Linked DNA regions of Rattus norvegicus. The protein of the gene in region 2 interacts with the protein of the main gene of each other region in a biochemical or structural test. Links are inferred from orthologs where the notes say so. Each region holds a gene or a part of one and is shown on either strand. Other genes may lie near its edges.

Region 1 (4,035 bases), on a different chromosome or scaffold from region 2:
AGAAGTTGGCTTTCAGGAGTTAACAGTTCCCTACTTTCGTCACGAGTGTCCTGAGGATCAATTGCAGGTTGTGTTTGCAAATAAACACATTTTACTGGCTGAACCATTTTGCCTGCCCCCAGTGCATATAAATTGCAAGTAATTTTTTTTCTTACTTTTGACCTTGCAACACCATCTCAAACAGGTTTCCTAATCTCTTCTTTCATAGATGAGGAAATTAAGGTTTCTAGGAATGAAACAGACATGTCTAAGATTGCACAGGATTTCCTAGAACAACTGGGGATTTCTACCATCTTAAAATGCCACCCTTAACACCGATATCTCAAAGCATTCGTTGTTGTTTATACACGATGAAGAGTCCTGCTGGAACTAACCAGAAGACAGGTCTGGACATACAAATGAACCAAAGTGCAGCCATTTAATAATCACCTAACCGAGTGCCTCGAAGCTGCACCGGCATGCAATGTTAGGACAATCTCATTTGAACTCCCAGCCAACTGAGAAATTGAAAGCAGACGGTGGTGAGCTGTTTGGTTACTTGGTGCCTTTTAAAATTAACTGAATCTTTCAAGTGCTGCTTTAGATTAGAGGTGACTAATTGGATAAAAGGAAAGAAGCCTTTCAACGGATGAAGAGTATTCTGGGAGCCCAGAAGGAGTTCCAGAAAAGGAAGGCACAAGAACAACTCCTCCAATAACGCTTTCATTATAAAAGTGAAGTTTCCAACACTCTGTTCCAATTGAGGACAAAATGATGTGTCGCTGCAGCCCAGAAGAGCTCGGGGGCGAATAGAAAGCACTTTTATTTTTAAAATGGGCTTTAACTCTGACCGAAACTTTCTAGCGTCAAAACCCCTTAGTGTTTTATTTTTTTGAATGAACGCTCCGAGTGTCTTCGCAGATGTCTAAACCAGGAGGGACAGTAGAAGCCCAGACTGAGTCCGTTCTTATTAATATTAAACAGCCAGGTCTGTATCCTTGAGGCAAACGGGAGAGACACGGAGAGGAGCTGCTGACATTGACAAGGAATCCAAACAGGACTTGCACTATCGGTGTACACCACGTTGCCTCTCCCCGGTTTGGCCTTCTGGGAATTGTAGTTTTGCGGAAGCTGATATCCTGGAGAGCTGGTATGCTGGGCCTGGGCAGAACCACAAATCCCAGAGCGCACCGGGCCCGGCCCCTCCCGCCCTGGTGTGAGAGTAAACTCACCGCGCCGGGGCGGGCAGCGGGCTAGCGGGCTGAGTGGGGCACTGAGCGGGGCGCGCGTCTTGGGGTACCCGAGGCCCTCCCCATCTTTGTCAGGTGCCCGGGTTCTGGTCCAAGTCCCAAGCAGTGGAAGGCGGGCAAGCAGGAGTCATGCAGTCTGAATCGGGAATCGTGGCGGATTTCGAAGTCGGGGAGGAGTTTCACGAAGAACCCAAAACCTATTACGAACTCAAAAGTCAACCTCTGAAGAGCAGGTGAGTGGTGACAGCTGGAGGGAGGCGCGGCAGGAGGCCCAAGGGCCCGGCGCCTGCTACCCTGGGAGGAGAACAGCCAGTCTGGATAGCTCTGGGACAAGGACCCCGTGCCCTTGCTTGGGGTACAGGGCGACCTAGCCCCTGGCATTTAGGGTCCTGCTCACAGATGACTTGCTCGCATCCCAGGTTATCTGACAGTGGCACTCTTGGGACACCGTGAGTCTCTTGGGATGGGTCATCCAGGCTTGGGGACCCTTGACTGCAGATGCCAGCTGCTGAGCTGGATGGGGGCTGGGGCGGTACCCGGCGCGAGGTGGGGTAGGAGGAGCACCGGACAGGGACGGTGATCTGGTGCTACCAGGAGTAATTTTTCTGAAGATCCTAAGCAGGCTGATGGGCTCCGAGAGGGAGAGCCTGGGGTGGATGGAGATCTGATGCTTCAGGGTAGCAATGAACTGGCCTTCCCTTGTAGTCTAGCCCCCCTGGGACATACTACTTAGAGAGACCTCTAAGTGAAGTTCACCTGGCTTTTACCTTCCACCTCCCACAGAACAGCACCCGCGCCCTGGGCGGGAGGTAGTGTGTGTGGGGTGGATGGGGGGTGGGGGGGGAGGTTGCGGGTGGGCGTGTCTCCCCATTCTTCCTTGCAAATGCTAAAGGAAGGGAGGGAGCAATTAAGCTATCTTAGAGGCCTGTGGTGGTTGGGAATGATCTCCTTGGCAGCTACACACATTTAATTCTCCAGGTGCTTCAAGAACTTTGGGCTTGGAGTGAAGATGCTCTCTAGTCTGGTGCCTCCTAACAGTCAGTACCTCTGCAGAATTGTTATCCCTCACACCACCCTTCATTGCTACTTGTCTGGCAGAATTGGTTATAACTCTCCTTGGTCACTCTGGACCCTTGAAGCCCTTTTTATTTGTAATGTTTATGGAGGGAGGGGGTAGTCACTGGAATCTGTGACTTTGTTTCTACCCTTTCGGTTGTGAGATGAAGTAAGGCTAACCCAGGAAGCATCATCACCTCGACTGTCTAGGGTCTGGATGAGTGAGGTCTCCACTTCCTACCTGGCAAAGGGGCGGAGGGCCTCCCTTTCAGGAGCCAGGGAGGCAGAAGTGAGGGGCAGAATCCTTGCTTTGGGAGAGAAGGAAGCTGAGTCTTAACTGCTGGAGAGTGGAGCCAGGTTCCTTTCCTTCGGGGCTGGGGCAGGACCTTGAATCCAGTAATGGGAACAAACTCTGGGAAGAGTTTGCTCTTGCTCGAGCAGGCTTTTTGTACATGCTTGTGGCAGAGTGGAAGGAAATGTGTTAGGCATCAAGATGCATAAACTCAGCCTTTCACTAGTGGCTTCTTTTCATAAAGGCTATTTGTATGTGACCGTAGATGGGGTGTATTGGGTGCTCTGAGTGACACTGTGTAAGGCGTATTGTTGGTTATGCTCACTAGAGCTTTATCTGCATGTGGCTGAAGGGACCAGTGTTTTACTGAGCAGTCCCTGCTTTTGCTTCTATAAGCAAATGCTTACAAGGCCAGAATGAGGGGGAGTGTGTGTGTGTGTGTGTGTGTGTGTGTGTGTGTGTGTGTGTGTTGCTGAAAGAAATGAATTAACTGTGCTGTTCGAATCATTTGGATGGTGGCTGTTACATTAAATGAGTTTTAGGGAGTGAGGAAAGTACCTTTGGGGAAAACCAACGAGTGCCCTGACACTCACGTAGAAGGATTTGGTTCTATTCTTTCTCACAGTCAGCAAGAATGGCACACAAGAGCACGTGTCCTCTGGAGCTAGCTAGCTAGCACAGAAGGAAAAATGTGGGGATGTGGGCATAAACAGCTTCACACGTTAGTACGAGCAGCAGGTGCCAGGTATGCTCTTTGAAATCGACCCATTAAATAAAATCTGTGAATAATTTTCTGGAGAGGGTGACATATTGTTTTTGACCGTTGTCCTAATGATATTACCATTGACATTTGTTGTGTGACTTTAAATGCAGTTCAGGGCCTTCTCATTGCTTGCAATTGAAGTCTACTGGGGAACCCTTAAAGTCCTGGTTGGAAAAAGGTTGTAATGAAAACTTGCAGATTCTCAAAACAAGGACATCCCACTGTATTGTCTCCATCAGCAATTCTCAACCTGCGGGTCGTGACCCCTGTGGGGGCTGTTGTATGACCCTTTCACAGGGGTCGAATATCAGCTATCCTGCATAATCAGATATTTACATTTATGACTCAAGGCAGTAGCAAAATTACAGTTATGAAGTAGCAACAAAAGTAATTTTATGGTTGGGGGTCACCAGAACATGAGGAACTGTATTAAAGGGTTGCAACATTAGGAAGGTCGAGAACCACTGGTATAGATTGTTTCAGGATTCACCCATTTCTTGCCTATTTCTCTGCTCTGACTTTGACCAAGTCAGTGTCAGTTTTTGCCTGAGTTATTGCAGCAATCTCTTAGCTCTCTCAACGTTGGCCCGTTTTAGTACCTTTTAAATTTAGCGCCCAGCGTTCTTATTAAACTGATTTTTTTCTTTTTTAAGGCTGAGACCTGACTCAGTAACTTGTGTGCTTGCCACACGACT
Region 2 (4,242 bases):
GAGCTTTCGAACAGTTTTAAGCCCTCAGCACCTAGCAATCCCTGATTAGCACTTTAATATTTACCTCCCCCCTTTTCAAATGTTTACAAATGACAAATGGCATTATCCCTGAGGCCCCAAACAACTATAAAATGTGGAGGTTTTACTATAACAGTATAAGGCACAGTGCCTTAAAGTAGCTATCTCTATAGATATTGAAATGAATTACTGAAATTGGCAGTTTAAGTGGCCAACTTGGTTTAGACAGGGCCCTCTGGAGGAGCCAAAACTTTGGAGAAAGGAGGGGGCATTTCAAAGAGGAGCAGAAGTGTTTCTTCTGTACGTGTACCTCCTTGTGTTCACCAACTGTGGAATCCCTAGTTACTGTAAGCATATCTGGAGGTTGGGGGATAGAGGGCTATCTATAGGGATTAGGTTGCTAATTTTCCATTTGTAGCCCAAGTTTTCCCACAGACAGATGGAAATCTCATCCTAGAGCCTCTCTATACAACCAGACTCCCAATGCACACAGTCTTGCCTCGTGGTCCAGCCCAGTACAGCCCCTACAACTCCGGCAAGTGATCAAAGGACTGCTGAGACTTTGAAAGTCCAGAACCTCTTCTCTCCTAAGTGCTCACCAGAGTTAACATCTCCCGCCCCGCTCCTGGGCTCCGCCCCTCTCCCCTCTCCGAGGTCCTGGCGGGCTTACCCTGGAGGGGGCGGCCCCAGCAGCAACGCTCGGACGGGCGGAGCTCTGGCCCGGGCGGTGCTGCGGCTGCAGCGTCCAGCTGTCGGACCGAACTCCAGCCGTGCAGACTGCGGGAGCGGCGCGAGCCCTTCCTACATCGGGGCCCACCCCCACAACTCTGCGGGTAAGTCCTGCTTTCCGCACCCAACTTTGTTGCCTGTCAAGCCTCGAGTCCTGTGGCGCTAGCAGGAGCTACGCTTGTAGTTGCTGTGTATTCGGGGGGAGGTGAAGGATTGGGAACAGCCGCCTCCAACAGTTTGCAAGTTCCCAACTTCCCCCAAAATGACCAGAGTGCATTGCTCCCAGAGTTGACAGAACTCTGGGGTTTCGCTAACTAAACTTGCCGAGATCTCCGGAGGACAGGGGCTCCAACTTCGCCGCCCCTCCCCCATCTCTCGGAGCTCCGGCAGTTCCGGATACTTTCCCTCCATCTTTCAAGTATCCTTGGCTCCCTAAAAGCCCTTCCCTTCGGGCCCGCCTCCTCGTCGTTACCCGCAGGGCCCCACGATCCCCGGGCTGCACACTCCCTGCGGGGCCACCGTGTCCCCCGCCGCCCGGAGACTTGCCCCGGCCGCCCGGCTGCAGGAGAAGGGGCGAGGCCGGCGGCGGTCCGAAGCCCGGCGGGCGGGGCCGGGAAGGGGAGGTGTAGGGGGCCGGACGGGGCGGAGCAGGCGGCCTTTGCGGCCGGCGCTGGGGCGGAGAGTTTGCGCCGGTCCCTGGGCCTGAGCTCCGGCTCGGGCTGGGGCGCCTGCGATGTCTCAAGATGGCGGAGCTGGGCGAATTAAAGGTACCGGCCCCCTCCCCCAGCCCCAGCAGGACTCGCTCGGCTGCCCGCCGAGGCGGGGAGGCGACCAGGCTGGGCGCAGCGGGCGACGTGGCAGGGACTGGATGCAGGGATGCGCGGGCAGCAGCCGCGAGAAGGGGCTGCGGCGGCGCCCCGGGGGCGGGGCCGCAGGGCAGATGCAGGGGTGGGGCGGAGGGGGAATTGTAGCCTGGAGGGCCGAGGCACAGGGGGCGGGGACGCGGGCCGTAGCCGCTTTTAGTGGTAGGTAGTTGCTGGGTACAGTCAGGCGGGGAAAAGCTGCTCTAGAGGCGTAGGGGTGAGTCCATCAGGCCCAGAGATATGGCAGTGAGGGGGAGACGTAGGGATGGGACCCGAGGACCAAATGTTGGCTAGCTCTGGAGGACGTGAAGCTTAGGGTGGAGGCTCTGGGGCTGCTGTCGGCATCTGAGCCTTGGGAAGTACTGGTAGGCTGCTGAGACGTAAGGAGGCGGGGCTGTACAGGAGCGTACCTTAAGAGCTGAGGCTGGAGCATCCTGGAGGCTGAGGGTAAGGAACTGTCTTAATGAGGTGCTGTCGTTGGGAGAGGTAGAGAAGTGTGAACCATTGGACAGAAAAATAAGTTATAGAGCCAATAGAGAAATACAAACACGTAGGAGGAGCTAAGGATGGAAAGGTAGAGGGACAGTGTTTTCATCACATTCCTGAAAAGGAGCTCAAGAGGGAGAGAACTTGGGAGACTAATGGTCTGCCGGTGACTAGGTCTTCTAGACATTCACAGAAGGGAGCCCTGGAAGGAGAGAGGTCCCCTACACCTCCCCAGCCCAAACACAGTCTTCAGGGAACTACACCTGAAGCTATCCCACAGAACCTTAGGTCATTCTCCCCCCCCCCCCCTTCTGGCTTAGCACCATCCTTGTCCTGGACAAGCTTGAGTTCTAGCCACTGGACCATCCACCTTTAAGCACTTACTTCTGTGCTCATGGACCCCGTTCCCAGTCTCTTGGGGTCTCTGTTGAGAAGTTTGCCTTGGTTTTCACCCTGGTGGCTATGTATACCATCTATGAGGGAAAGAAGCAAGATAGTAGTTCCAGACTGTTTGGTTTCAGACCCCAAGACAGGGGACTGAGGTGCACATTTTACATATCAAAGTGGACAGGGCCTCCAAGTTTTCTCAGCATCCCTCAGTCCCTACCTGGCATACCATGCTTCCAACCCTGAACTTTCCAGCTCAGAGGCTGGGCTGCCCTACCCCCAAGGCTCTTTCCTATATAATCCAGACATTTTGTGTTTTCTCCCCCTACACCCCCCCCCCCCACCCGTGGCGACTCCCTTGGGGAAGCTTCCCAATAAACCTGCCTTTAATCTAATCTACTCTGGTTTGAATTGGCTCATTTCACTGACAGAGAAGTAACCTATCACTGACAAATGGAGTAAATCTGGCCACTTACCTAGACTTTTGAATTTACCTTTCTCCCCTACAAATTTTGGTAGCTTCCTTTTAGTAAACAGGAATAAAGGAGTGTGAGTGTGTAAATAATGTAAAAGGTGGGGATGATGGTGGTGGTGGTGGTGGTGGTGGTGATGGTGATGACGACGACAATGACGACGATGGAGTGTTGAACTCTGACGATAAACGTTACAGTTCAGAACTATGGGGAGAACAGGGATGGACTGAGGTGACTGGGAGGGTGGCAGTGGATTGCAATCCTCTTGCCAGCTGGCCTCTTTCTCATGGGGCTGTCTGCCCTGAATCCTCCTTCCTTGTGTCCTATCTTTTTCCCTGGAGCCTAGGGCTCTGAGAGTCTGAGCCTAAGAGACAATAATCTGCTTAAGGGAATGTCTGTATTAGGGCTAGGGATGGGGCTCGGTGGTCCTCGTGTGTTGAGCTGGTCAGTCAGGTCAGCTACTCAGGTCAGTACACTAGCTTTAGGACGCCTTTCAGCACTGGGGATGGAGGGGAGAGGCACTGCCCCCCTGTAGCTCAGCTGTCATGTCACCAGCAGACAGCCATTTTTTGAAGCCAGATCATTTCTGTGCTCTTCTCCGCAGCACATGGTGATGAGTTTCCGGGTGTCTGAGCTCCAGGTGCTCCTTGGCTTCGCTGGCAGGAACAAGAGTGGGCGGAAGCACGAATTGCTGGCCAAGGCCCTGCACCTCCTCAAGTCTAGCTGCGCCCCCAGCGTCCAGATGAAGATCAAAGAACTTTACCGCAGGCGCTTTCCCCGGAAGACCCTGGGGCCTTCCGATCTCTCTTTGCTCTCTTTGCCCCCTGGCACCTCTCCTGTAGGCTCCCCCAGCCCCCTTGCTTCCATTCCTCCCACCCTCCTGACCCCTGGCACCTTGCTGGGCCCTAAGCGTGAGGTGGACATGCACCCTCCTCTGCCCCAGCCTGTGCACCCTGACGTCACCATGAAACCACTGCCCTTCTACGAAGTCTACGGAGAGCTCATCCGGCCCACCACCCTTGGTATGGCTGACTGGTCTCTCAGGCTTTCTGGATTCTGGTTCAGGCTGGAATTTTTCCTATTAGGTTTTACTCTTGAAGGATCAGCAGTGTGGGATGGAAGCAAGTAGCTTCTCAGGCAGGGGCTTGGGAATGACGGTGCCTTTGTGTCCACAGCGTCCACCTCCAGTCAGAGGTTTGAGGAAGCCCACTTTACCTTTGCACTCACTCCCCAGCAGCTGCAGCAGATTCTCACATCCAGGTACACCCATCCCCGCCTTGTCCCTG

Evidence for each region.
Region 1: the proteins of Pias3 (region 2) and Mitf form a complex in vitro, tested with the Homo sapiens proteins (2 studies listed by BioGRID). The link is inferred for Rattus norvegicus from reciprocal best matches to the Homo sapiens genes PIAS3 and MITF.

What each region holds. Positions count from the first base shown.
Region 1 is NC_086022.1:131,964,514-131,968,548, forward strand, and holds the start of Mitf (microphthalmia-associated transcription factor), read left to right. Parts: upstream 1-1,226; 5' UTR 1,227-1,358; coding exon 1,359-1,462; intron 1,463-4,035. UniProt on the Homo sapiens protein: Transcription factor that acts as a master regulator of melanocyte survival and differentiation as well as melanosome biogenesis.
Region 2 is NC_086020.1:186,920,693-186,924,934, forward strand, and holds the start of Pias3 (E3 SUMO-protein ligase PIAS3), read left to right. Parts: upstream 1-1,435; 5' UTR 1,436-1,490; coding exon 1,491-1,514; exon of another isoform or gene 1,515-2,081; intron 2,082-2,480; exon of another isoform or gene 2,481-2,569; intron 2,570-2,959; exon of another isoform or gene 2,960-3,095; intron 3,096-3,560; coding exon 3,561-3,978; intron 3,979-4,131; coding exon 4,132-4,216; intron 4,217-4,242. UniProt on the Homo sapiens protein: Functions as an E3-type small ubiquitin-like modifier (SUMO) ligase, stabilizing the interaction between UBE2I and the substrate, and as a SUMO-tethering factor.